4 linked regions of the Anolis sagrei genome follow. The protein of the gene in region 4 purifies or fractionates together with the protein of the main gene of each other region. This does not show direct contact. Links are inferred from orthologs where the notes say so. Each region holds a gene or a part of one and is shown on either strand. Other genes may lie near its edges.

Region 1 (7,055 bases), on a different chromosome or scaffold from region 4:
CAGGTCTTGGGTGAAGTCAGTGCAGCCCTGTTCCAGCAAACGGTCTGCTTCATCCAGGACCTAAATCCCAATGAGGAAAAAAAGAAGGGATCCTAGAGCGGGATGACCCCAAAAGGTCATCCAGTCCAACCTCTTTCTGTCAGGTAAGAAGGCTCCATCTAAGGCTTCCTAAAAGATGGCCATACCGACTGAATGATAGACTCATAGAGTGGGAAGGGGTCCCCGAAGACCATCCAGTCCAACCCCTTTCTGTCATAGACACCATCCAAGCCCTCCCGACAGATGGCCACCCAGACTCTGCTCAATAATAATAATAATAATAATAATAATAATAATAAAATCCTAAAGTTGGAAGGGATCCCACAAAGGCCATCCAGTCCAACTCGTCTGTCATAAAGGGGGACACCATCAAAGCCCTCCCAACAGAGGGCCATGTAGACTCTGTTTATAGAATCCTAGAGTAGGATGGGACCCCCCAAGGCCAACCAGTTCAACCCCCGCCTTACCAAGACCTTGATCCGTTGAAGGCTGCAGGGGTTGGAGCTGCGGAGGTGGTCGGCCAGGCGCCCTGGGGTGGCGACGACCACGTGGGGCTTGCGGGAGAGTGCCAACGCCTGGGACACCATGTCTGCAAGGAGAGGGAGGGATCACGTCATGTATTCGTGGTGCACTCTCTCAGCTTTTCGGCCCCATATATACGTACCCATGCCGCCCACAACGATGCAGTCCTTCAGGCCCAGTGGCTTCCCTAGGACTCGGAACTGTTCAGCGATCTGGTAGGCCAGCTCCCTATTGGAAACAATAAATCGAGAAGGGAATATACATAATATATCAACACAGTCCATTCTACCACCTAGGAAGACACCATCAAAATCCTCCTGACAGATGGCCATCCAGACTCTGTTCAATAATAACAGCAACAATAATAATATAATCCTCGAGTTAGAAAAGACCTTTTAAAGGGCCATCCAGTCCAACCCCATTCTGCCGTAAAGGAAGACACCATCAAAGCCCTCCTGATAGATGACCACTCAGCACCTGCTTAGTACTAATACTAATAATAGACCTTGTGGGCGTCAGGACGAGGCAGAAGATGCCGTAGGGGTCCTCTGAGAGCCTCTGCAGGACCGGAAGCACAAAGGCAGCCGTCTTCCCACTCCCGGTCTTGGCACAGCCCATGCAGTCACGGCCTGGAAAGAAAGCAAGAACTCTGAACATGTTCTGAGGCAAGATCAGCTCAAAGGAAACCCCCCACCGCTTTGCTAAGGGGTGATTAGGCAAGCCCCAACCTTAGCAGCCTTCAAGAAGGATCTCAAAACTTGGCTTTTCTGTTGCACCTTTGGAGAGTGATCAGATATTTCCTTTTGTTGCTCCTCTCACAATGTTTGTCCTCATATTGCACTCCCCCCCTCCTGTTTGAAAGCCTGTCTCCACTACTCCGTCTCCTATGAGCTTCTCCCATACCAATATTTCTTTTACATCTCTATCTCATCTTGAATTTTATCATTTTATCTCGCACATGTGGGCCGCCCATTGGGATTGACTCTGCATTGTATTATTTTGTATTGTTTTATTGTATTCTTATGTTTTTATTTATTTAATTGTGATGTTTGTTTTGTTGCTCTGGTTTTATTTTGTACTGTTGGGCTTGGCGTCATGTAAGCCACCCCGAGTTTCCTTTGGGGAGATGGTGGAGAGGTATAAATAAAGATTATTATTATTATTATTATTATTCCACTGATTAGATTTAAATGTAGAACAGGGTTCATGGAGAACTAAGTGGAGAAAACACTCTGCCCATGCTCAGGAATCCCTCCCCCAGGCTATTTAGTGGGGAGGGTGATTTAGAGTGGGCATGGTTTTCTGTGAGGGCGTGGCTTGAAGAGCCCCCCCACTGGGGATCAAAGGGAAACTGAGTGGGCGGGGCTTCACGAAGGGCGTGGTTTGGCTGAGAAGGCTTTCTGTGGGGCCGTGGCTTGAACGCCTAATTGCCAAGGGAAACCTGGAGGCGTAGCTTAATGGTTTTTTTTGGTTGTTTTTTTTAAACAGAAGAACGGCCTGCCTCAGGGGAGCGTGCTTGTTCCATCCATGTTCAACATCTACACAAATGACCAGCCACTGCCAGGAGGGACAGAGAGTTTCATCTATGCTGATGATCGTGCCATCACCGCTCAAGCAGGGAGCTTTGAGATGGTTGAAAAGAAGCTATCCGAAGCTCTAGGTGCTCTTACTGCCTATCACAGGGAAAACCAACTGATCCCTAATCCATCTAAAACACAGACATGCGCCTTTCACCTTAAGAACAGACAAGCATCCCGAGCTCTGAAGATCACCTGGGAAAGGAATCCCACTGGAGCATTGCAGTGCACCCAAATACCTGGGAGTCACTCTGGACCGTGCCCTGACCTACAAGAAGCACTGCCTGAACATCAAGCAAAAAGTGGGCGCTAGAAACAATATCATACGAAAGCTGACTGGCACAACCTGGGGATCACAACCAGACACAGTGAAGACCTTGCGCTATGCTACACTGCTGCTGAGTACGCATGCCCAGTGTGGAACACATCTCACCACACTAAAACAGTGGATGTGGCTCGTAATGAGACATGCCGCATTATTACGGGGTGTCTGCGCCCTACACTACTGGAAAAATTACACTGCTTAGCCGGTATTGCACCACCTGACATCTGCCGGGAAGTAGCAGCCAATAGTGAAAGGACCAAGGCAGAGACATCTCCAGCTCATCCCCTGTTTGGGTATCAGCCAGCACGCCAACGACTTAAATCAAGACATAGTTTTCTTAGATCTACAGAGACACTCGCTGGAACACCTCAGCAAGCGAGAGTCCAAAAGTGGCAGGCTCAAACCCAGCACCTCAATCCATGGGTGATACCAGATGAGAGACTCCCCCCTGGGCACACAGAAGACTGGGCAACTTGGAAGGCGCTGAACAAACTGCGCTCTGGCACCACGAGATGCAGAGCCAATCTTAAGAAATGGGGCTACAAAGTGGAATCCACGACATGCGAGTCGAGAAGAGCAAACCACTGACCACCTGCTGCAATGCAACCTACATGCACGATGGAGGACCTTCTTGCGGCAACACCAGAGGCACTCCAAGTGGCCACATACTGGTCAAAGGACATTTAATCAGCTACCAAGTTTGCAAAATCTGTGTTTTTTGTTTTTTTTAAATCTGTGTGTTTGTTTTGTTCTGTTAGAAATGTAATACAATGGTCTGGTTGCTGATGACACGATAAATAAATAGCTTAATGTGTGGGCGTGGCTCGGAGGCTCTTCCAATGAGGGTTAGAGGCAACCGAAGGGGCGTGGCTTGAAGAGCCTCCCAGCAGGACGAAAGGGGGCGTGGCTTGAGGCGTCTGAGGGCGTGGCCTGGTCGAGCGCGCGAGGTCTTACCTTGGAGCGCGGGTGGGATGCAGGCCTCTTGGACGGGAGTAGGCCGCTTGAGGCCCAGTTGCTCCGCTTGCGCCGCCAGCCAAGGCGACAGGCCCAAGGCACGAAAGCCGGCTGCCGCCATCACACTCCGGAGGAAAGAGGAAAAAGGAAGCAATCCCAGAGTGCCACGCGGTGGTGCGCTCTGCGTCATGACGTCACGAACCTGAGTCGGGCTGTATAGGTTGTCATGGCAACGCTGTAGCTTGTGTCCCAGAATGTTCAGCGCGAAGCTTCAGAGCGTCGAACAAATTAGAAATCACAATAACACGAATATTATCATATTTAGTTGTTACCCAATACGAATTGATAGAAATTATAAGAAAAAATTAAAATACTATTATAATTTATAATTATAATATAAAATAATAGAATATATATATATATATATACTTATGATTTCTATTTATTTTTTTCTTCTCTTGATCGCAATCTCACTCCCAGTCTTGTCACTCTAAACTTTTCCTTTCTCTATGTTCACACTCTCTAGCGTCAGCCCTTTTCCTTGCCTTGATTGGTCAAACGGGAGAAGGGGCGGGGCACAGCGAGTGAATGACAGCGCGACGGCCAATCGCCGGCGAGGGAAGTCGGAAGTGGAGACGTGTCAAACCTTCTGAAGGGAAAGCCGGGCCAAGATGGCGACGACGGGGGCAAGCGGCGCTGCGGGCGAAGCCGACGAGCTCTTCGACGTCCGGAACAACTTCTACATCGGGGCCTCGCAGGCCGCCATTAATGAGGCGCAGCGCGTGAAGGTGAGGCGTCTTTTCTGCGAGGAGGAGCGGTTCCAAAAGCGACGAGGCCTCACTGAGCGGATTGGGGCCTGCAATGAATTCTGTCCCTCGGCCGCCTTTTTCGAAATGTATTCACTAGAGTGATAATATGTCTCCCTTTCTTCTCTCCTCAGGCATCCAGCCCTGAGAAAGAAATCGAGAGAGACGTTTTCCTGTTCCGCGCCTATATTGCTCAGGTGAGGTCGAGATATTATATTGTTAGGTTCTTGTGGGTTTTTTCGGGCTATAGGGCCATGTTCTAGAGGCATTTCTCCTGACGTTTCGCCTGCATCTATGGCAAACATCCTCAGAGGTAGTGAGGTCTGTTGGAATTAGGAAAATGGGTTTATATATCTGTGGAATGGCTGGGGTGGGGCAAAGAGCTCTTCTCTGCTGGAGCTAGGTGTGAATGTTTCAACTGACCACCTTCATTAGCATTTGAAGGCCTGCCTGAGCCTGGGAAAATCTTTTGTTGAGAGATGCTTGGATGTCCCTGATTGTTTTCCCTCTGCTGTTTTGCTGTTTTAATTTTAGAGTTTTTTAATACTGGTAGCCAGATTTTGTTCATTTTCATGGTTTCCTCCTTTCTGTTGAAATTGTCCACATGCTTGTGGATTTCAGTGGCTTCTCTGTGTAGCCTGACATGGTGGTTGTTAGAGTGGTCCAGCATTTCTGTGTTCTCAAATAATATGCTGTATCCAGGCTGGTTCATCAGGTGCTCTGCTATGGCTGACTTCTCTGGTTGAAGTAGTCTGCAGTGCCTTTCATGTTCCTTGATGCGTGTCTGGGCGCTGCGTTTGGTGGTCCCTATGTAGACTTGTCCACAGCTGCGTGGTATACGGTAGACTCCTGCAGAGGTGAGAGGATCCCTCTTGTCCTTTGCTGAACGTAGCATTTGTTGGATTTTCTTGGTGGGTCTGTAAGTGGTTTGTATGTTGTGTTTCCTCATCAGCTTCCCTATGCGGTCAGTGGTTCCCTTGATGTATGGCAGGAACACTTTTCCTCTGGGTGGATCTTCATCTTTACTCTCGTGGCTCATTCTTGGTCTTGCAGCTCTTCTGATGTCTGAGGTGGAATATCCATTGGCCTGGAGAGCCCAGTTGAGGTGGTTCAGTTCATCTTGGAGGAGGTGGGGTTCACAGATTCTTTTTGCACGGTCTGCCAAGGCTTTAATTGTGCTTCTTTTTTGACTTGAGTGATGGTTGGAGTTTTTATGTAGATATCTATCTGTGTGTGGGGGTTTTCTGTAGACAGTGTGACCCAATTGTTGATCTGGTTTGCGGATAACTAGGACATCTAGAAAAGGCAGTCTTCCTTCATTTTCTTTTTCCATTGTGAATTGGATTTTTGGGTGGATGCTGTTAAGATGGTCCAGGAACCTGTTGAGTTCTTCTTCTCCATGGCTCCAAATGGTGAAGGTGTCATCCACATATCTGAACCATATAGTGGGTTTTTTGGTTATTATATTATTATATTGTTATTTTTGTATTTATATTATTGTAAAACATATTATGCAGTAGTAATATTATTTATTTATTCATTTATTTATTTTTATCCCGCTGTTCGCGGGGTAAAAATAAATGAATGGTTAAAACAACAGAAATTACATGTCACAAAAAACACAACATCCTCACCCCAAATAAAACAGACACACAAATAACACATTCAGTTGTTGTGTATTTTCCGGGCTGTCCTGCTATGTTCCAGAAGCATTCTCTCCTGACGTTTTGCCTGCATCTATGGCAGGCATCCTTAGAGGTTGTGAGGTTTGTTGGAAACTAGAAAAATGGGGAATGTCCAGGGTGGGAGAAAGAACTCTTGTCTGTTTGAGGTAGGTGTGAATGTTACAAATGGCCACCTTGATTAGCATTTGATGGTCTAGTAGTTTTCAAAGTCTGGATTCTTACTGCCCAGGGGAATCCTTTGTTGGGAGGATTAGCTCAGGATTCCCCCAGGCAGACCTTATTTATTTATTTACTTATGGTGTTTATACCCCCCTCCTTTTCTCAGCCATATGGCAACTCAAGGCGGGTTACAGATAGGCACAGTTTGATGTCAGGCATTCATAAAAGTGTCATTTAAAACAATCAACATTACAATATAAAACATAAATAAAAACCGTTAAATCATTGGTGTCATCTTGTTAAAAACATCCAGTAACATCATCTGCCATTCCATGTTCATCATTCATAGTTCCATGTTATCTGTTCCGCTGCATTCTCAAAAGCTTGCTGAAAGAGCCAGGTCTTTACTTTTTTTTTCAGAGGGGGCCGATCTAATATCCCTGGGGAGAGAGTTCCATAGCCAGGGAGCCACCTCTGAGAAGGCCCTGTCCTTCGTCTCTGCTAATCGCACTTGTGAGGCAGGCGGGACCGAGAGCAGGGCCTCCCCAGATGATATTAAGCTCCTAGATGGTTCATAGGAGTAGATACGTTCGGACATGTAACCTGGGCCGGAATCATTTAGGGCTTTATAGGCTAAAGCCAGCACTTTGAATTGTGCTTGGTAGCAAATTGGCAGCCAGTGGAGCTGACGCAACAGAGATATAGTGTGTTCTCTGAGCACTGCTCCTGTTAGCTCCTATTAGTAACCTGTCTGCCGTTCTTTGGACCATTTGAAGCTTCCAAACAGTCTTCAAAGGCAACCCCACGTAGAGTGCTATGCAGTAATCTATTCGGGATGTAACAAGAGCGTGGACCACCGTGACCAAGTCAGACTTCCCAAGGTACGGGCGCAGCTGGCCTTGAAACTGCTAGGCCATTAAATGCTAATCAAGGTAGCCAGTGGCTACATTCATACCTACCTCAAACAGACAAGAATTCATTCTCCCAC
Region 2 (7,096 bases), on a different chromosome or scaffold from region 4:
AATAATTTTAAAGTAAACAATCCAATTAATGTGCAATACAAGCATGTAACCTTAACCCTATTGAGAAAATCAAGGCTGCAGCCTAATGCAAACCTATTCAGAAGCAAGCCCCTTTAGATTCAGCAAGGGGTACTATCATATGATATATTATCAGATAAATATGTACACAATTTATCTGTGTCATACGCACATTGCACAAGTGTTAAAATATAGTAGCAATGGAAAATAAACAAATTTATATTGTTACAAAGCTACCTTAATAAATGACTACAATATCAAGCCTTTTCTGATAAGGAGTGCACACATAAGGAAGATACTACAGAAACATAAGTGACTATACATCTCATTAAAATAAAAGGGCAGGATCAAAACTGAGCACCTTACGATCCACCATTATAACGGTTAGACTGAAATATATACTTAAAATTTCAATAGATTTAAAGAAACCACTGTGAATGACTTATTTTAAAATATATAGCTGTGCCAGCTAGGAAAGATGGAAGAACATTCAACACATCTGGAAAAGATCAACAAAGTCAAGAGGGCAAAACAAGGACAGTAGAGTAGGCTATAAGAAAGATTTATGGGTTTGTTTGTGTGTGTGTGTGTGTGTGTGTGTGTCAGGAGCAACTTGAGAAACTACAAGTCACTTCTGGTGTGAGAGAATTGGCCATCTGCAAGGCTGTTGCCCAGGGGACGCCCGGATGTGTTACTATCCCGTGAGAGGCTTCCCTCATGCCCCCGCATGGGAAGCTGGAGCTGACAGACAGGAGCTCACCCCACTCTCTGGATTTGTACCACCGATCTTTCGATCAGCAGTCCTTCCAATACAAGGGTTTAACCCATTACCATTATTATTATTATTATTATTATTATTATTATTATTATTAGCCACCTTGATGAGCATTTAATGACCTGAAGTTTCAAGGCCTGGCTGGTTGCTGCGTGGGGGAATCCTTTGTTGGGAGCTGTTAGCTGGCCCTCATTTATCCTTGTTTAGAAATCCTGTTTTCTGAGTGTTGTTCTTTATTTGCTGTTATGATTTTAGAGTTTGTTTCAAAAAAGACTGGTAGCCAGATAGTGTTCATTTTCATGGTTTCCTCCTTTCTGTTGAAACTGTCCACATGCTTGTGGATTGCTCTGGCTTTTCTGTGTAGTCTGACATGGTGGTTGTAAGAGTACAATTCCACAGATATATAAACCTCACTTGCCTAGTTTCTTGGGGTTGCCTTTGAAGACTGTTCAGAAGCTCCAATTAGTCCAACGCTCTGCAGCCAGGTTGCTCACGAGAGCTGGGTACAGGGAGTGCACACCCCCCCCCCCCCGTTACACCAGCTCCACTGGCTGCCAATTCGCTTCAGAGCACAATTCAAAGTGCTGGTTTTAACCTACCAAACCCTATACAGCTTGGGCTCGGTTTACCTGGCCAAACGTATCTTCCCCGATAAACCATTGAGGATTACAAGATCTTCTAGAGAGGCCTTGCTCTCGGTCCCACCACCTCCGCAGGGGCGTTTCGTGGGGACGAGAGACAGGGCCTTCTCTGTGGTAGCTCCCCCCCCCCCCCCCGGACTATGGAACTCTCTCCCTGGTGAGATTAGGTCTGCCCCCTCTCTCCTGTCATTCAGGAAGCAGCTAAAATCCTGCCTGTGGGCTCAGGCATTTGCAGATTGATGGATGATTGGATATAGACTAAGAGTAATTTGGCCACAATGTTTTGGACTGAGTTGGACGTTGTTTTAATGTGATGAATTGTTTTTATATGTATTTTAGAACTTATTTATTGTATGTTGTTTTATTATACTATTTATTGCGTAGCATTGAATGTTGCTGTTTGCCGTCCTGAGTCCCTCTACGGAGGTAGAGAAGAACGGCACACAAGAGTTATAAATAAATAAATAAATAAATAGTTTCTAACTGACTTCACAACCTCTGAGGATGCCTGCCATTGATGTGGGCAAAACGTCAGGAGATAATGCTTCTGGAACAGGGACATTCAGCCTGGAAAACTCACAGAAACCCAGTGAATCTGACCATGAAAGCCTTCAACAACACTTTGGCCATCACTGCAGGTGTTTTGGACTCCAACTCCCACAATACCTAACAGCCTCAGGCCCTTTCCTTTTCCCCCTCAGCTGCTTAAGCTGAGTTTGCCCATGACTGGCTTATCTCCTCTTCTGGAGGTCTAAAAGCAGAAACTGGATGGCCATCTGTTGGGAGTGCTTTGATTGTGTTTTCCTCCCTTTCAGGGGGTTGGACTGGATGACCCATGGATCTCTTCCGACGCTAGCCATAAGGCTACTAGGGATTGTGGTGGTTGGAGTCCAAAACACCTGGAGGGAAGTTGGTCCATGCCTGGTCTAGATGCACCCTGAGAGTCTGAAGACCAGGGTTTGCACCCCTGCTCAGCCAAGGAAAGGCAATGAGTGACGCTGGGCAAGTCACACTCTCTCGGCTTCAGAGGAGGGACATTCAAATCCACTTTGAATTAATCTTGTCAAGGAAACCTGAAGCTTTAGAGTCGCCATGACTCAGAAACGACTCGGAGTCTCCCCGCAGGAATAATTCGCGGGATCCAGCGGACAATGCTCCAAATAGCGGGGATCCTGTGGAAGTTCTGCTTTCGGCCCTGGGTTGGTTTGGCTGGCGGCTCCTAGGCTTCGCAAAGCTGGGCCTTCGGAAAGGGAGAGAAGGCCCAGCGTGAGTGTATGTGTGTGAGAGCGAGCAAGCGAGCCCAGGGTCCGCGGCCTCTCCTCCCAGTCAGACGCGGATACAACTCACCGCCGCTCCGTCCTTTCCGTGTGGGCCTGCCCTCGCCCAGGGAGCCTCCGGGTGGCTGCAGGCAATCGGGTGCTATCTTCCCGCGGCGGCCACTACCACTATCCTCCCTCCGCCGCTCACTTCCCCCGCCGCTCCCGCCGCCTTCCTGCTCCCGACTCCTCCAGCTGACGTGGAAGCAGCCCTCCGCGCACAGGCCACATCGGAACTACGGCGGCCCGATTGGGACACGCCTCCTCCGTTCGCGGAACAGGCGTGCTGCCTCCAGAGGGGGAAAGCGCGGCCTCTTCCGCGTCCCTCGCGCCCGGGGCGGGGCCAAGCGGGTTGTCGCATCCAGCTCAGTGCAGCAAAGATCTGTAATGGTAGTACTGCATAATATAGTCCAGGCATGGGCAAACTTGGGCCCTCCAGGTGTTTTGGACTCCCAACTCCCACAAGGACTAACAGCCTCAGGCCCCTTCCTTTTCCCCGTTAGGCCTTGTGGGAGTTGGGAGTCCAAAACACCTGGAGGGCCCAAGTTTGCCCATGTCCGATAGTCTTAAAAATTGTCTCTCCCCCTCATCTATTATAGCTTCTATCAGGGGATTGGGTCATGCCACATTATCGTGGGATGTCTGCGCTCTACACCACTGGAGAAATTACATTGTTTAGCCAGTATTGCACCATCTGACATCGGCCGGGTAGTAGCAACCAATAGTGAAAGGACTAAGGCAGTGACATCTCCAGCCCACCGCGTTTGGATAGCAGCCAGCATGCCAACGACTTAAATCAAGAAATAGTTTTCTAAGATCTACAGAGAAACTTGCTGGAACACCTCAGCAAGCGAGAGTCCAAAAGCGGCAGGCTCAAACCCCGAACCTCAATCAATGGCTGCTACCAAATGAGAGACTCCCTCCTGGGCACACAGAAAACTGGGCGACTTGGAAGGCGTTGAACATACTGCGATCTGGCACCACGAGATGCAGAGCCAACCTTAAGAAATGGGGCTACAAAGTTGGATCCACGACATGTGAGTGTGGAGAAGAGCAAACCACAGACCACCTACTGCAATGCAACCTGAGCCTTGCCACATGCACAATGGAGGACCTTGCAGTAACACCAGAGGCACTCCAAGTGGCCAGCTACTGGTCAAAGGACATTTAATAGAATACCAAGTCTGCAAACTTTGTGTTTTGTCTGTCTGTTCATTTGTTTTTAATGCAATACAATTGTTTTGGTTCACTCCTGACACGATAAATAAAGGGGATTGGGTTGTGGCGCAGCTGGTTGGGAGCCAGCTGCATTAAAATCACTACTGACCGAAAGGTCACAAGTTCGAAGCCAGCTGGGGTCGGAGTAAGCTCCTGACCATTTGTCTATCTTGCTGTCGACCTTTGCAGCCCGAAAGACAGTTGCATCTGTCAAGTAGGAAATTTAAGTACCACTTATGCGGGGAGGCTAATTTAACTAATTTACGATGGCATTTGAAAAAATCTCCAGCAGTGTGCACGGTGAAACAACAACTCCACCGTGGCCGGAATTCGATCATACCCTCGTGAAGCTGGAAAGTTAAATAGCCTCTGTGTGTCTTTCTATATATGTTGTGTGTCTATGGCATTGAATGTTTGCCATGTATATGTGCATTGTGATGTGCCCTGAGTCCCCTGCAGGGTGAGAAGGACGGAATATAAATACTGTAAATAAATAATCAAGTTCTTCTGTGTTTTAGTTTCAATTAGTTACGCACTGTTTATTGTAATAAATTTCTATTTTAGAAGGGCGTTGTGATGTTTGCTTTGTGTAGTTAAGTTTTAACTGTAGACAGGAATCACACCTGTATAGAATGTTTTTCCTTTTTTTTGTCATTTTCTCCATTATTTAATGTTGATCCCCCCGCCCTTGGGATCAATAAATTACAGTAGTGAATAAGGAATATGATGCTCCAGTTGTGTACTACAGAGTAGAAATGATACTACTATGGTGAAATGTCAGAGCTCAGACAACAATACCCCTTGCCACATATAAAGAGGGTTAAGAGGGGAAGAGCAAGAGGCTGGCTGTTTGTCATGAGAATGGAAGCAAAGAAAGAAGATATATAATGAAATGGGCTAGTTTATAAAGATTTAAACTGAAACAATTGCTCCAAGCCATTCAAAATGCTCAAGGGGAAAAGGCATTACTGCTTTCTCTTCTTTCATCATCATCATCACCATCATCATTTAATTACTTATTAATCGCCCTCCATCCAAGATGCTCTTGGCGATTTACAAGCTGAAATTGTAAAGGATAAAAATACATACATACAGATATTGATAAAATTAACATAGATCAAATGCTCTAGTAAAAAGCCAGGTCTTAAGTGCTAGGGTAAAAGGCCCTAACTCACGAATGGCTCTCAGGGCGGCAAGGAATTCCACAAGGCAGGGGCAGAAATAGAAAAAGCTCTGCATCTGGTCCTTTCCAGGTGCACTTCTCTAGGACCTGGTATATAAAGTAAGTCATGTTGGGATGGTCGTTGCGACCTCTGATGATGGGAGAATGAGAGACGGTCCCTAAGGTACGATGGACCCTGGCCGTAAAGAATTTTAAAGGTCAGAACTAACATCTTATACAGGCCACGGTACTCAGTTGGAAGCCAATGTAAATGTTGCAGCACTGGTGTAATATGGCAGTTATTCTTTCCCTATCATTTACTGTATTTTCAGTGTTACCATTCATAGTTCATATACAGTACAGGCAGTCCCCAAGTTACAAACAAGATAGATTCTGTGGGTTTGTTCTTAAGTTGAATTTGTATGTAAGTAAGAACATTTTAAGTGCAACTCCAGCCATTTATATAGGTATATATTCCACAAGAAACCATTTTTTTCTTTCTGCACTGTCAACACCTATTACAACACTGAAAGAGTCCACATGACTAGGACCGCTTATATTGTTGTTGTGTGCTTTCAGAACATTACAGTGAATGTAAGGCGAACCTATAAAAGAGTTTTCCTGGCAAAATTTGTTCAGGGGTTTGCCATTGCCTTTCTCTGAAGATGAGAAAGTTTAATTTCCCCAAAGTGACCCTGTGAGTTTTATGGATGAGCAGAAATTTAAACTATAGACTAATGCTCAAACCACTATACCAAACATGTTCTCATAACAAGGGCCTGGATTACAAACAGAAGAAAAATAAAGACAATGCAGCATTCATTATTTAAATCATTGGATCTTTAGTATGAAACAAATAGTTAACTATTGTTTCATACAAGTCAAAAATGCTTGACTATGCTGAATTATTTAAGTTCTTCAATATTGTCTGGTTTTTGAAAGTTACTCCCTTTGTAAAATGAAACCATTTCACAAAACCAAAGTGAACATCATGGCAATACGAATTATAGTATTAAATGACTGGCTGATGTTTCTCTGACTAATCAGATAAAAAAAGCTAAAACAAGACATTTCAGGAAAGAAAGATTTATTAACAGATGCCTTTAAAAAAGCAACTTTTTATATAAAACAGTATTCCATACTTTTTTTTAAAGAAAATGACAGCTTTTCTTGTCAAGATAAATGGTCAGTTTATTAATTCCCCACTGCCAGTGTCAAGATTTTTGGCAATACATTTTGAAGACTGACTCACTATAACATGTCACTACAATACGCATTCATCTCAGAGTTAAGTTGCCAGAATACAAATGAAGACTCCCAGCAGTGCTGCAATTGGAATAAACCCCATATTTTGTGCGCAGTATTTAGTGCTCCATTGGCTCCTCAGGCTTTTCTGCTGTTTCCTCAGCAGGTTGAGCAGTCTTAAAAAGATAAAAAATAGGCAAGTGTTACACTTTTAAGCTTCACTGATCCCAAACTGTAAAAGAAAATCTCGTAATGAAATGCTGCAATCTTTATTCAATATAAAAGCTACAGAACTGGGTATAAGATCTAATCTTCAATTTTCCATTTTTCTTTATTCAAAGTCAAATGGTTTCATTTTTTGTCAGAATTTGTTTATTTAATTCATATGCAGTACTATTTTAACTAAATGTTTAATCTTCTAATAAAAAAATATTGAGCGGAAATTCCAGTTACCTCCAACCAAACGTTTTATTGATAAATGTGATTTTGTGATTGAAAAATCCAATGAAGTCAGTCCAGAATAGCCTGTTAGTGTTTAGTAACTGAAATGTGTTTACTAACAATTTCAGCTTCTAAACTGTGGCACCCAACATTCAAAATGTGCCGACAAATATTGGGGTATCCCTTCAGATCTGGGGGGGGGGGGAGTCTGCCATTTCCTATTGAATTATTGAACAACAGAACAGTTGTAGACACTCATTTCATCCATGTTTCAAAAACG
Region 3 (7,414 bases), on a different chromosome or scaffold from region 4:
TGAATGGGACTCAGGGCGGCCTACATGAGCGGTATTATTTTATGCCCAAACAACAACAACAATTAAACAATAATTTAAAACAACATTAAAACAACCTATGTAAACATTAGACAACTATTGTGCATCGATCCAAAGTCAGATCATCCTATTCATCAATCCAAAGGCAATTCCAACTATGTTTTCATTCGGTCAGTCGTCTCCGACTCTTCGTGACCTCATGGACCAGCCCACGCCAGAGCTCCCTGTCGGCCGTCACCACCCCCAGCTCCTTCAAGGTCAGTCCAGTCACTTCAAGGATGCCATCCATCCATCTTGCCCTTGGTCGGCCCCTCTTCCTTTTACCTTCCACCTTCCCCAGCATAATTGTCTTCTCTAGGCTTTGCTGTCTCCTCATGATGTGGCCAAAGTACTTCAACTTTGTCTCTAGTATCTTTCCCTCCAGTGAGCAGTCAGGCTTTATTTCCTGGAGGATGGACTGGTTGGATCTTCTCGCAGTCCAAGGCACTCTCAGAACTTTCCTCCAACACCACAGCTCAAAAGCATCGATCTTCCTTCGCTCAGCCTTCCCTAAGGTCCAGCTCTCACATCCGTAGGTTACTACAGGGAATACCATGGCTTTGACTAGGCGGATCTTTGTTGCCAGTCTGATGTCTCTACTCTTCACTATTTTATCGAGACTGGACATTGCTCTCCTCCCAAGAAGTAAGCGTCTTCTGATTTCCTGGCTACAGTCTGCATCTGCAGTAATATTTGTGCCTAGAAATACAAAGTCTGTCACGGCCTCCACATTTTCTCCCTCTATTTTCCAGTTGTCAACCATTCTTGTTGCCAGAATCTTGGTTTTTTTGATGTTTAGCTGCAACCCAGCTTTTGCGCTTTCTTCTTTCACCTTGATTAGAAGACTCCTCAGCTCCTCCTCGCTTTCGGCCATCAGGGTGGTATCATCTGCATATCTGAGGTTGTTAATGTTTCTTCCAGCAATTTTCACCCCAGCTTTGCATTCAACAAGCCCCGCACATCGCATGATGTGTTCTGCATACAAGTTAAAAAGGTTGGGTGAGAGTATGAAGCCTTGCCGTACGCCTTTCCCAATCTTGAACCAGTCTGTTGTTCCGTGGTCAGTTCTGACTGTTGCTACTTGGTCCTTGTACAGATTCCTCAGGAGAGAGACAAGGTGGCTTGGGATGCCCATCGCACCAAGAACTTGCCACAGTTTATTATGATCCACACAGTCAAAGGCTTTAGAATAGTCAATGAAGCAGAAGTAGATGTTTTTCTGAAACTCCCTGCCTTTCTCCATTATCCAGCGGGTATTGGCAATCTGGTCTCTCGTTCCTCTGCCTTTTCTAAACCCAGCTTGTACATCTGGCAACTCTCGCTCCATGTATTGCTGGAGTCTTCCTTGCAGGATCTTGAGCATTACCTTACTGGCATGAGAAATAAGGGCCACTGTACGGAAGTTGGAGCAGTCTTTCGCATTTCCCTTTTTTGGTACGGGGATATAAGTTGATTTTTTCCACTCTGATGGCCATTCTTGTGTTTTCCATATTTGCTGGCATATGGCATGCATCACTTCCAACTATATTGCACCCATAATTATGCTGGCCGAAATGATCCCAAAGACAAGGTTTCACTCTTTTGCAAAATGACAGCAGGGAAGGGGCCAATCAAATGCCACTAGGGAGGGAGTTTCACAGCTTGAGGGGCCACCACTGAGAAGGTCCTGTCTCTTGTCCCCACCAGTCGCACCTGCAAAGGTGATGAGACCGAGAGCAGATCTTAACCTCCTTGTTGGTTCAGAGAGGGAGATACGTTTGGACAGGTAATTTGGGCCGGGGCCATTGAGGGCTTTATAGGGCAAAGCCAGTACTTTGAACTGTGCTTTGTAGGAAACTGGCAGCAAACATTATATAGCTGTGTAGATGGGGGCCACAGACAATCCTAACGCTTGTAATATGGCTCTCCCTGTTTAGATATTACTTTTACTTAATTCAGTGTTTCTCAATTTGGGGGTTGGGACCCCGGGGGGGGGGGGGGTCATGAAGGGGTTCCAGTAGGGTTGCCAAAGACCATCAGAAAACACATTTTCTGTTGGTCATGGGGGTTCAGTGTTGGAAGTTTGGCCCAATTCTATTGGTGGGGTTCAAAATACTCTTTGATTGTAGGTGAACTATAAATCCCAGCAACTACAATTTCCAAATGTCAAAGTCTATTTTCCCCAAACTCCACCAGTGTTCACATTTGGGCATATTGAGTATTTGAACAAAGTTTGGTCCAGATTCATCATTGTTTGAGTCCACAGTGCTCTCTGGATGTAGATGAACTACAACTCCCAAAACTCAAGGAAGTTGTAGTTCACCAACTTGGGTCATGGGAGTTCTGTGTGCCAAGTTTGGTTCAATCCCATCGTTGGTGGAGTTCAGAATGCTCTTTGATTCTAGGTGAACTATAAATCCCAGCAACTACAACTTTCAAATGACAAGATCAACCCCATGGATGTGTCGCTGTCTATACCAGCCATGGGCAAACTTGGGCCCTCCAGGTGTTTTGGACTTCAACTCCCACAATTCCTAACAGCCTACCGGCTGTTAGGAATTGTAGGAGTTAAAGTCCAAAACACCTGGAGGCCCCAAGTTTGCCCATTCCTGCTTTGGATCATACCTGACACTACTTTAACTATAGAATCCTGGATATCCCTTTTTTGCCAGCCCCTTTTTTAAACAGAGTCTGGCTGGCCATCTGTCGGGAGGGCTTTGATTGTGTCTTCCCGCCTGGCCAGTCTCTGGTGCTGAGATCCACTTACGGGAGTCCAGGGCGACTTGGTAAGAGGCCAGCGGCTCCAGAGACAGCTTGTAGCCCTCGAACTTGGGGTCCAAGAGGGGGCGCTTGACCCGCAGGGAGCAATTGGCCGCCGCTTTGTCCTCCATCGCTTCTTTCTTCTCCTATTAGAGGCCCAGGGAAGCCAGGACGCCTCTTCCAGCCCGCAGAGGCTTCTAGGTAGAAGAGTGCGAGCAAAGCGTTCTGGGAAGTGTAGTTTTTTGAGTGACTGCTGCTCAAGAACTACATCCGGGCCACTGAGTGGGCAACTTCTGCGTTTTGGCTGTTCTCATTCAAAGACTTGTTTATGAGGAATCCCTGAAGCACATCCACAGGGGATTAAAAGCCCATTTATTTGCCCACCTCAATAGCATTAATTAATTTTACTAATTAATTAATTACTAATTATTAATTAATTAGCAAGTTTTTGATTAGTTGATTCATAATATAACTTATTTATACATTCCATTTATTTGCACCCACCTCCAATAGCCTTAATTAATGTTACTAATTACTAATTAATTACTAATTAATTAATTCTTTATTAGTGGATTCATAATATAACTTATTTATAAATTCCATTTATTTGCCCCCGCCTCCAATAGTATCAATTTTACTAATTAATTATTAATTATACTAATTAATTACTAATTAATTAGTTCTTTCTTAGTTGATTCATAATATAACTTATTTATTCCATTTATTTGCCCCGCCTCCAATAGCCTTAATTAATTTTACTAATTAATAATTAGTTCTTTATTAATTGATTCATAATATAACTTATTTATAAATTCCATTTATTTGCCCCCGCCTCCAATAGCATTAATCAATTTTACTGACTAATGATTAATTACTAATTAATTAGTTCTTTATTAGTTGATTCATAATAGAATTTACTTATAAATCCCATTTATTTTCCCCGTCTCCAATAGTGTTGATTAATTTTACTAATTAATAATTAATTACTAATTAATTCGTTCTTTATTAGTTGATTCATAATATAACTTACTTATAAATCCTATTTATTTGCCACCACCCCAACAGCATTCATTATTTTCATTCATTAATATTAATAAGTTATCTATTATTAGTTGATTAACAATAAACTTAATTACAAATCCCATTTATTTGCCTCTGCCCCAGTAGCATCAATTTTACTCATCAATTAAATACGAATTAATTAATAAGTTCTTTATTATTGATTCATAATATAACTTAATTACAAATCCTATTTATTTGCCTACGCCACAATAGCATTGATTAATTTCACTCAATTAATTATTAATTAATAAGTTCTTTATTACTCGTTGATTCACAATATAACTAAATACAAATCCCATTTATTTGCCTCCATCCCAATAGCATTGATCAATTTTACTCAATTAATTATTAATTAATTAATACATTCTTTATTATTAGTTGATTGGCAATATAACTTAATTACGAATCCCATTTATTTGCCCCATCCCAATAACATTAATTAATGTTAGTTATTAATATTAATTAATTCTTTATTATTAGTTGATTCATAATATAACTTATTTATAAATCCCATTTATTTGCCCCTGCCCCAATAGCATTAATCAATTTTACTCATTAGTTACTATTTAATTAATTATTAGTTGATTCATAATATAACTGATTTATAAATCCCATTTATTTGCCCCATCCCATAGCATCAATTAATTTTGCTTATTAATTAATAATAATAATAATAATAATTATTATTATTATTTAGTTGATTCATTTTCTCCGTTTTAAATAAGACCCTATCCTAATATAGAACATCCAGGAGATAAGGGAGAGCTGCTTTGAGAATGCGGCCTTCTGGGACTTGTAGTTCATTTGAGACACTGGAGAACAAGGGGAGACGCAATAAAGGACTACGTTTCCCGTTCTGCTTTGCGAGGCATGAGGTCAGAACGTAGTGCGGTGGGCGGGACCCTCTTGGGCGTTTCTGCGGCTGCGCGGCGGGGAGTTGGAGGCGACTTTGGGAGGAAAGAGCCGGGAGGAAGCGAAGGGCCTCCGGGACAGGTACCTGCCTCTCTCTCACTCACTTTTTCCCATTCTCAGCTGTTTAATTGAGCTGGTCGGGGAGACCTCATTTTTAAAAGTCATAATGGTGCATCTACACCGTGAAATTAATGCAGTTTGACACCCCTTTGACTGCCAAGGCTCAGTGCTATGGAATTATGGGAGTTGTAGTTCCACAAGGGCTGTAGCCTTCTCTACCAAAGAGGGCTGAGGCCTCAGCAATCCCATGATTCCATAGCATTCAGCAAAAGCGGTTCAAGTGGTGTCAAACTTCTTAAATTCTACGGTGTAGACACACCTTCATAATTCTGATGTAGCATGAGTTCAGATTAATATAACTGCTCCTTCTTTAGGACATTTCTCAGAAAGTTTCTTTAAACATTAAATTTACTGTATATCAACATAGATACACATTCAAGTACCAAACAACATAAAGACATGAAAATGGGATATTAAATAACTAAATACTAAAATTGATATAATTGGGAAAGGCGTACAACACGGTTGCATACTCTCACCCAATGCTATGGAATTATGGGAGTTGTAGTTTCACAAGGGTTGCCCTTGAAAACGGCTCGGAAATTTCAGCTAGTTCAGCGGGCGGCAGCCAGGATGTTAACTGGGGCCCCTTACAGAGAGAGGTCAACCCTCCTGTTCAAGGAGCTCCATTGGCTGCCGTTCATTTTCCGGTCCCAATTCAAGGTGCAAGTGCTCACCTACAAAGCCCTAAACGGTTTGGGACCTGCCTACCTGCGTGACCAAACAAATACGAACCCGCACGCTCCCTTTGATCATCTGGAGAGGCCCTGCTCACGATCCCACCTGCGTCGCAGGCGCGTTTGGTGGGGACGAGGGACAGGGCCTTCTCTGTGGTGGCCCCCCGACTGGAACACCCTCCCCAAGGACATCAGACAAGCCCCAACGTTGGCTGTCTTTAGGAAGAGCTTGAAGACCTGGCTGTTCCAGTGTGCCTTTCCAGAATAGGAAACTCCTGGCATCAAGTCCCAAATGCACTTTGCTAGAGATTCAGGATTATCTGCACATTGCACCTACCACCAAATACCTCTACATATCACCTGTCAAGTTCAGAACTTTTAAAATTTTGTCCATTACATTTGGCCCGGCCTTTAGGTTTTAATTGCATCACGGTGTCATTGTTTTACTGTTTTATTGTTTTGCTTGATGTTTATTATTTGCTTATGAGTTTATTGTGTATTGTATGTTGTTGTTTGTCGGCGGCCTTGGCCTTTGTAAGCCGCATCCTTCGGGAGATTTTGCAGGGTATAAATAAAGTTAATAATAATAATAACCTATTCAACTTGTATGAATGCGATGTGTGGGGCTTGATGAATGCAAGGCTGGGGTAAAAATAGCTGGAAGAAACATTAACAACCTTAGATATGCAGATGATACCAATTTGATGGCAAGGAGGAGCTGAGGAGCTTTCTAATCAAGGTGAAAGAAGAAAGTGCAAAAGCTGGGTTGCAGCTAAATATATATATATAAGAAACAAGATTATGGCAACCAAACTGATTGATAACTGGCAAATAGAGGGAGAAAACATGGAGGCCGTGATAGACTTTGTCAAGAAATCGCGGCCAGGAAATCTGGAGACGCTTACTTCTTGGAAGGAGAGCAATGACCAATCTCGATAAAATAGTGAAGAGTAGAGACATCACACTGGCAACCAAAATCCACATAGTTAAAGCAGTGGTATTCCCCATAGTCACCTACGGATGTGAGAGATGGACTGAGTGAAGGAAGATAGACACTTTTGAACTGTGGTGTTGGAGGAAAGTTCTGAGAGTGCCTTGGACCGCAAGAAGATCCAACCAGTCCATATTTCAGGAAATAAAGCCCGAGGCTTTGGTAGTGTTCTTTCCAACGTAGTGCAATTGATTTTTTTGTCCTTCAGAAGTTTGGTTCCATCTGATGAGTGTACAGGCTGTATGCCATGGTTTCTTGGTCCATAGATGACCTTTGTGGCTTTGAAAAATCCCTGAGCATCATGGGTATCTGGAAGGAAAAAGGAAGAGGGGCCGACCAAGGACAAGATGGATGGATGGTATCCTTGAAGTGGCTGGCTTGACCTTGAAGGAGCTGGGGGTGGTGACCGCTGACAGGGAACTCTGGCATGGGCTGGTCCATGAGGTCACAAGAAGTTGGAGGCAACTGAACGAATGAACAACAAAAAATGATAATTAAATATTTTCCTAAGCCTTCCAGACAGCATTGGATAATAAAGAGAAAAAGAGAAAAAGAGGTTTGATTTTATAAAAATGTTTACTTTGCAGCGATGCAGGTTGAGTATCCCTTATCCAAAATATATTTTTAAAAACAATATCCACAATGAGATATTGATGAGACACAAGTCTAAATATGAAATTAAAACTGAAATGTGTACCTAAAATGTCTCTGCATATTAGGTACATATGCAGCTAATAGTTGCTTTGTATATGCCGCTAATAGTTGCTTTGTGCTAACTGCATCTTCAGCCCAAGAGTGCATCTGCATTGTTGAATTAATGCAGTTTATTTATTATTTATGTATTTACGTTATTTCT
Region 4 (6,874 bases):
GATTCCATAGCATTGAGCCAGGGCAGTTAAAGAAAGAGAACAAAGACATGTTTGTGGGACTAAGCCTTTGGCAAGTAAAATAATGCAATACAAAGAATAATTAAGGAACATGTGCAATGACGATCGGAATGGCTATGGTGCACGATTTTTGGATCATGTGATTTTAATATTTATACTAGGATGATTTTAATGCGTCACCTGAATGTTTACATTTTGTTTATGCCTTATGTTTAGTTTTAATTATTTTAAGTCATAGTTATTAGTTATTATGTAGTAATTAGTTATCATGATCTCTTTTTTTATTGTATGTTGGCATTGAATCTTTGCCATTAATATATTGTAAACTGCACTGAGTCTCCCCAGGGGTGAGAAAGACAGTATATAAATATAGTAAATTAATAAATGGTGTCAAACTGCATTAAGTCTTGAGTGTGCGTGCACCCCAAATCTGGAAATTAGTTATCTAGCCAGACTTGAGTGTAATGTCATTTTCATCACAGTCTGATCTTTCTGTGTTGTCAGAATGATTTAAATCTAGACAAATATCATTCACAATCTCCAGAATGCCAATTCCCACCTGTGCTACTTATCATAGCCAGTGATGCGGGAAGATGGATGTGGCACTGTAATAACATCTGGAGGGCCACATTTTTCCTAGCCATGGTTTACAAGCCACACTGGTCAGGAAACTGCAGAAAAATTTATTGTCTCTTTCAGAACAAATGGAAAGTCCTAAGGTGACTATATATACAACTTTAGAAAAGGACACTACATGAATGAAAAAATAATTATAATTATTGGGTTGTTGTGAGTTTTCCAGGCTGTATGACCATGTTCCAGAAGCATTTTCTCCTGACATTTCACCCACATCTATGGTAGGCATCCTCAGAGGTTGTGAGGTCTGTCAGAAACTAGGCAAGTGAAGTTTATATATCTGTGGAATATCCAGGGTGGGAGAAAGAACTCTTGCCTAGTTTCCAACACACCTCACAACCTCTGAGGTTGCCTGCCATAGATGTGGGTGAAATGTCAGGAAAAACTGCTTCTGGAACATGGCCACACGGCCTGGAAAACTCACAGCAACCCAGTGATTCTGGCCATGAGAGCCTTTGACAACACAATTATAATTATTTTATTTTTTACCCTTCCTCTCCTCATATTGGATTTCTGTCCACAAAATAATAATAATAATAATAATAATAATAATAATAATAATGCAAAGACTCCGACACAAGCCAGTCAAGGTGGTCCCAGTGGTGATATGAGGATTTAAAGATTGAACTGCAAAGACTCTGGCACAAGCAAGTAAAAGTGGTCCCAGTGGTGATTGGCATATTGGGTGCAGTGCCTAAAGACCTTGGCCTGCACTTAAACACAATTGGCATTGACAAAATTACCATCTGCCAGCTGCAAAAGGTCACCTTACTGGAATCTCTACGCATTATTCGCCGATACATCACACAGTCCTACACTCTTGGGAAGTGTCCAACGTGTGATCCAATACAACAGCGAGCAGAGTGTTTTCTGTGGACTCAACTTGTTGTATTTATAATAATTATAATAATTATAATAATTATAATAATAATAATAATAATAATAATAATAATAATAATATATCACACAGTCCTAGACGCTTGGGAAGTGTTCGGCTTGTGATTTTGTGATATGAAATCCAGTATATACGTATATCTCGTTTGCTGTGACATACTGTGTTTTTGTTTCAGTAAAATAATAATAATAATCTTTATTTATACCCTGCCATCATCTCCCCGGAGGGGACTCAGGGCAGTTAACATGAGGCCAAGCCCAAAGATAAAATTGTTGTTCATTCGTTCAGTCGTTTTCGACTCTTCGTGACCTCATAGACCAGCCCACGCCAGAGCTCCCTGTCGGCCGTCACCACCCCCAGCTCCTTCAAGGTCAGCCCAGTCACTTCAAGGATGCCATCCATCCATCTTGCCCTTGGCCGGCCCCTCTTCCTTTTGCCTTCCACTTTCCCCAGCATAATTGTCTTCTCTAGGCTTTGCTGTCTCCTCATGATGTGGCCAAAGTACTTCAACTTTGTCTCTAGTATCCTTCCCTCCAGTGAGCAGTCGGGCTTTATTTCCTGGAGGATGGACTGGTTGGATCTTCTCGCAGTCCAAAGCACTTTCAGCACTTTCCTCCAACACCACAGTTCAAAAGCACCTATCTTCCTTCGCTCAGCCTTCCCTAAGGTCCAGCTCTCACATCCGTAGGTTACGACAGGGAATACCATGGCTTTGACTAGGCGGATCTTTGTTGCCAGTCTGATGTCTCTACTCTTTACTATTTTATCGAGACTGGACATTGCTCTCCTCCCAAGAAGTAAGCGTCTTCTGATTTCATGGCCATACAATACAGCAAAATAAAATACAAAATACAAAACAACAAAAATTACATCAGAATGAAATGCATACAGTAGCAAAATAAAATAAATAAATAGAAATAACATAATGGAAAAGCTTTCAAAAGCATTAAACCTTACCAGAAAAAGACAGATGACAACCTTAAGAATGCAAATTGATCAGAATGAGTAGGATTTCTTTTTCTTTCACCTTTCCACTTAATTTTTCCCCCTGAAAAACAATTCAAATTATTTGTGCTGCCTGATCAATAAAAAGGAGTCCTTAAAAGGTGTTAACTTTATGGAAGGTGCTTAGAAAGGAAGTTTTCCTTCTCTTCCACTTAAGAAAAACACTGTTCCCAACATACTGCTAAACAGGACAAAATTAAGTTTATTTTCAGCTCTTATTTTGAATGCAAATTATACAGAGATATCTTATTTGATGCCACAGGGCTTCCCAAATGATGCCTAACATATTGTCGAAGGCTTTCATGGCCGGAATCCCTGGGTTGTTGTAGATTTTTTCGGGCTGTATGGCCATGGTCTAGAGGCATTTTCTCCTGATGTTTCGCCTGCATCTATGGCAAGCATCCTCAGAGGTAGTGAGGTCTGTTGGAACTAGGAAAAGGGGTTTATATATCTGTGGAATGACCACTCTCACAACCACCATGTCAGACTACACAGAGAAGCCATTGAAATACACAAGCATGTGGACAATTTCATCAGAAAGGAAGAAACCATGAAAGTGAACAAAATCTAGCTACCAGTATTAAAAAAAACTCTAAAATTGCAACAGCACAATAACAGAGAGGAAGCAGGTAGCGACATCTAATTACCTCTCAACAAAAGTTTGCTCCAGGCACAGTCAACCCATTGTATGCTAATCAAGGTGGTCAGTTGAAACATTCACACCTAGCTCCAGCAGACAAGAGTCCTTTGTCTCACCCTGGTCATTCCACAGATATATAAACCCTTTTCCCTAGTTCCAACAGACCTCACAACTTCTGAGGATGCTTGTCATAGATGCAGGCGAAACGTCAGGAGAAAATGCCTCTAGATCATGACCATATAGCCCGAAAAAACCTACAACAACCCGATGCCTAAACACTCTAAAAGCACTAGATTCTGGTGGATCTAGGAAGTTAGGCAGGAGGTTATCTTTCAAAGGAAGGAAAGGGCAAAACAACCTGAATAGTGTGACATTCCTACAGACTCTGCCCACCTCCCCATAAGCCAGGCATGGGCAAACTTCGGCCCTCCAGATGTTTTGGACTTCAACTCCCACAATTCCAGGGTTGAAGGGGGGGGAAGGTGCTATTCTTAACGTTCTACGCTTGGTCTTCCAATGGCTCCGCCCCACGAAGCGTTCCCCGCTGCTATTGGCTGAGGGATCGATGACGTCACACGCCTTTCCCCTAAGCTCCGCCCTCGCACTGTCAGCCACGTAAGCCCTCTTTGGGCCTCACCAGCGCAGCGTGCGCATGCGCCTTTCTGTCAAAGCTGAGCCCAGTCAGGGTTGTCATGTTGGCAGGAAGTGGCGCCCGGGCAGGAAGTAGAACTCTTCAGGGCTGCAGGCAGAGCCAGGTGCTGCCTTCTCCTCCTCCTCCTCTTGTTCTCTATTTGGGCCCTTTCCCCTTCCCTCCCTCCTGGTGAGTTGTCTGCCTCCTCTTCCACCACCCCTCCTCTGCCAAGGGACAAGATGCTGAAAAAATTCGACAAAAAGGATGAGGAATCCGGTGAGTAATGCTGGGGACCATGGGTGCATCTATACTGGAGAATTGATGCAGTTTGACAGCACATTAGCTGCCTTGGCTCAATGCTATGGAATCCTGGGAGCTGCAGTTTGGTGAGCCACCATCACTCTTTGGCAACTACAACTCCCATGATTCCACAACATTGAGTTAGGAAAGTTCAAGTGGTGTCAAACTGTATTAACATCATAGCGTAGATGCTCCCCAGATGTAGTTTGGATTTTAGATATTATTATTATTATTATTATTATTATTATTATTATTATTATTTGAAACACAACAAGATGAGTCCACAGCAGATAAGATTATTCTGCTGGCTGTTTAATTAGATCACATGTCAGTCCCTTCTCAAGCCTAAACACTCTAAAAGCACTAGGACTGTGTGATGTATCGGTGAATAATGTGTGCAGATCCCAGTAAGGTGGCCTTCTGCAGCTGGCAGATGGTAATTTTGTCAGCGCCGACTGTGTTTAAGTGCAGGCCAAGGTCTTTAGGCACTGCACCCAGTGTGCCAATCATCACTGGGACCACCTTGACTGGCTTGTGCCAGAGTCCTTGCAGTTCGATCTTTAAATCCTCATATTGTGTCAGCTTTTCCTGTTGTTTCTCTGCAATCCTGCTGTCATCTGGGATTGTGACATCAACAACATTATTATTATTATTATTATTATTATTATTATTATTATTATTATTATGTTTTTGGCATGCTCCTGTCATTTAGGAAGAAATTGAAGTTGTGTTTCTGGGACCAGGCTTTTGGACAACAGACATAGATAGTACTTTGGACATGGAATTGGATATGGAATTGACTGGAATGATGATACGGCTATTAATACTGTTTTTTACTGTGTTAATGAATGTTTTACTTATTGTTTTAATTGTTATTATATTGCTCTGTTATATGTAGTGGCATCAAATTGCTGCCAAATGTAAGCCGTCCTGAGTCCCCCTTCGGGGGTTGAGAAGGAACGGGATAGAAATAAATAAATGTACATGAGATATTTTGGAGACAGGACACACCCCGAAACACCAATTTTATTTATATTTCATATACACCTTATGGGGTCCCCCCAGTGGCTCAGCGGGTAAAACTGCTGAGTTGCTGAACTTTCCAACCCAAAGGTCAGCAGTTTGAATCCAGAGAGCAGGGTGAACTCCCACTGTTAGCCCCAGCTTCTGCCAACCTAGCAGATCGAAAACATGTAAATTTATTTATTTATTTGATGCATTTATTAACCGCCATTCTCAGCCCTTTAGGGCGACTCATGGCGGTGTACAACACATATAAAAAGGCAATTTACCAAGAGGCAATTACAACAACATATTAACAATACAACAATTACAAAATTACACTAAAAATCCGCTTCGTCTCATAGTGGAATCATAACCAATCTCATATTCCTTGTTCCTTTCCAGTCGTCTTTACCACATTTTTATAGCACTTAATTAAATGCCTTCTCGAACAGCCATGTCTTAAGGCTTTTTCGGAAGGACATAAGGGAGGGTGCCTGTCTGATGTCTGCAGGGAGAGTGTTCCACAGCCGGGGGGCCACCACCGAGAAGGCCCTCTCCCTCGTCCCCGCCAGACGTGCCTGTGAGGCAGGCGGGATCGAGAGAAGGGCCTCCCCAGACGATCTCAAGGTCCTCGTGGGCTCGTAGGCCAAGATACGGTCCGAAAGGTATTTTGGGCCGGAGCCGTTTAGGGCTTTGTAGGCCAAAACCAGCACTTTAAATTGGGTCCGGTAGCAAATCGGCAGCCAGTGGAGCTGGGACAACAAGGGCGTTGTGTGCTCCCTGCCTCCCGCTCCAGTTAGTAACATGGCTGCCGCGCGCTGAACCAGCTGAAGCTTCCGGGCCGTCTTCAAGGGCAGCCCCACGTAGAGAGCGTTGCAGTAGTCAAGGCGGGATGTGACCAGAGCGTGTACCACCGTGGCCAAGTCAGACTTCCCGAGATACGGGCGCAGCTGGCGCACGAGCCTGAGCTGTGCAAATGCTCCCCTGGTCACCGCTGAAACCTGGGGATCCAGGCTCAACGATGAGTCCAGGGTCACACCCAAGCTGCGAACCTGCGCCTTCAAGGGGAGTGCGACCCCATCCAGCACAGGCATAAATGTGCATATATCAATAGGTACAGTTCCTGCGGGAAGGTAACGGCACTCCATGCAGTCATGTCAGCCACATGACCTTAGAGATGTCTAGGGACAATACCAGCTCTTTGGCTTAGAAATGAAGATGAGCACCAACCCCCAGACTTGGACACAACTAGACGTAATGTCAAGGGGAAACCTTTACCTTAGACATATAGCCTGAAGTTAATTTTGATACCCAATATTTTAAAATAATTTTGTGCATGAAGCATCAATTAACAATTAATCCATAATCTGGAGTTAGTTTAATACAATGTTGTCTAAGATGAAACAAATGTTTTTATACATCAGCTCATTGGAAAGCAACTCTCTCAGCTGCTCATGTGAATAATTTCAGATTTTGGGGGATTTTGGAAATACAGCTAAGGGATGCTTAACCTGTATTGACAAATCTCTTTATGGAGAACAGGGGACAAGTGTGTAGTTATGGAAGATGTATTTTCACTCCTCAGTACAGAGCACCTCAAAGGAATATACCCTTCCATAGTATATAGTTGCCTATACACACTAAGGAAGAGATATCCCTATCATCCAATAAATGGGCCCAAATTATGCAGACTTTTGTGGTTGATGTTTCTCCAGGGATCAACACTGAACTAATATTGTGTGGG

What was found.
Region 1: the proteins of COPG1 (region 4) and COPE fractionate together in Homo sapiens (co-fractionation; 6 studies listed by BioGRID and IntAct, counting the BioPlex papers as one, with this or other methods). This does not show direct contact. The link is inferred for Anolis sagrei from reciprocal best matches to the Homo sapiens genes COPG1 and COPE.
Region 2: the proteins of COPG1 (region 4) and COPB1 fractionate together in Homo sapiens (co-fractionation; 11 studies listed by BioGRID and IntAct, counting the BioPlex papers as one, with this or other methods). This does not show direct contact. The link is inferred for Anolis sagrei from reciprocal best matches to the Homo sapiens genes COPG1 and COPB1.
Region 3: the proteins of COPG1 (region 4) and NUDCD1 purify together in Homo sapiens (affinity purification with mass spectrometry; 3 studies listed by BioGRID and IntAct, counting the BioPlex papers as one, with this or other methods). This does not show direct contact. The link is inferred for Anolis sagrei from reciprocal best matches to the Homo sapiens genes COPG1 and NUDCD1.

Annotation. Positions count from the first base shown.
Region 1 is NC_090034.1:52,171,495-52,178,549, reverse strand, and holds the start of COPE (coatomer subunit epsilon), read left to right. Parts: upstream 1-4,043; 5' UTR 4,044-4,088; coding exon 4,089-4,205; intron 4,206-4,357; coding exon 4,358-4,420; intron 4,421-7,055. Other genes in the region: probable ATP-dependent RNA helicase DDX49, read right to left, coding at 1-60, 507-628, 704-789, 1,067-1,190, 3,418-3,607. UniProt on the Homo sapiens protein: The coatomer is a cytosolic protein complex that binds to dilysine motifs and reversibly associates with Golgi non-clathrin-coated vesicles, which further mediate biosynthetic protein transport from the ER, via the Golgi up to the trans Golgi network.
Region 2 is NC_090021.1:250,245,820-250,252,915, reverse strand, and holds the start of COPB1 (coatomer subunit beta), read right to left. Parts: upstream 3,006-7,096; 5' UTR 2,782-3,005; intron 1-2,781. Other genes in the region: PSMA1 (proteasome subunit alpha type-1), read right to left, coding at 6,495-6,551. UniProt on the Homo sapiens protein: The coatomer is a cytosolic protein complex that binds to dilysine motifs and reversibly associates with Golgi non-clathrin-coated vesicles, which further mediate biosynthetic protein transport from the ER, via the Golgi up to the trans Golgi network.
Region 3 is NC_090024.1:26,950,178-26,957,591, reverse strand, and holds the start of NUDCD1 (nudC domain-containing protein 1), read right to left. Parts: upstream 3,019-7,414; 5' UTR 2,928-3,018; coding exon 2,804-2,927; intron 1-2,803.
Region 4 is NC_090022.1:56,476,822-56,483,695, reverse strand, and holds the start of COPG1 (coatomer subunit gamma-1), read left to right. Parts: upstream 1-3,849; 5' UTR 3,850-4,064; coding exon 4,065-4,101; intron 4,102-6,874. UniProt on the Homo sapiens protein: The coatomer is a cytosolic protein complex that binds to dilysine motifs and reversibly associates with Golgi non-clathrin-coated vesicles, which further mediate biosynthetic protein transport from the ER, via the Golgi up to the trans Golgi network.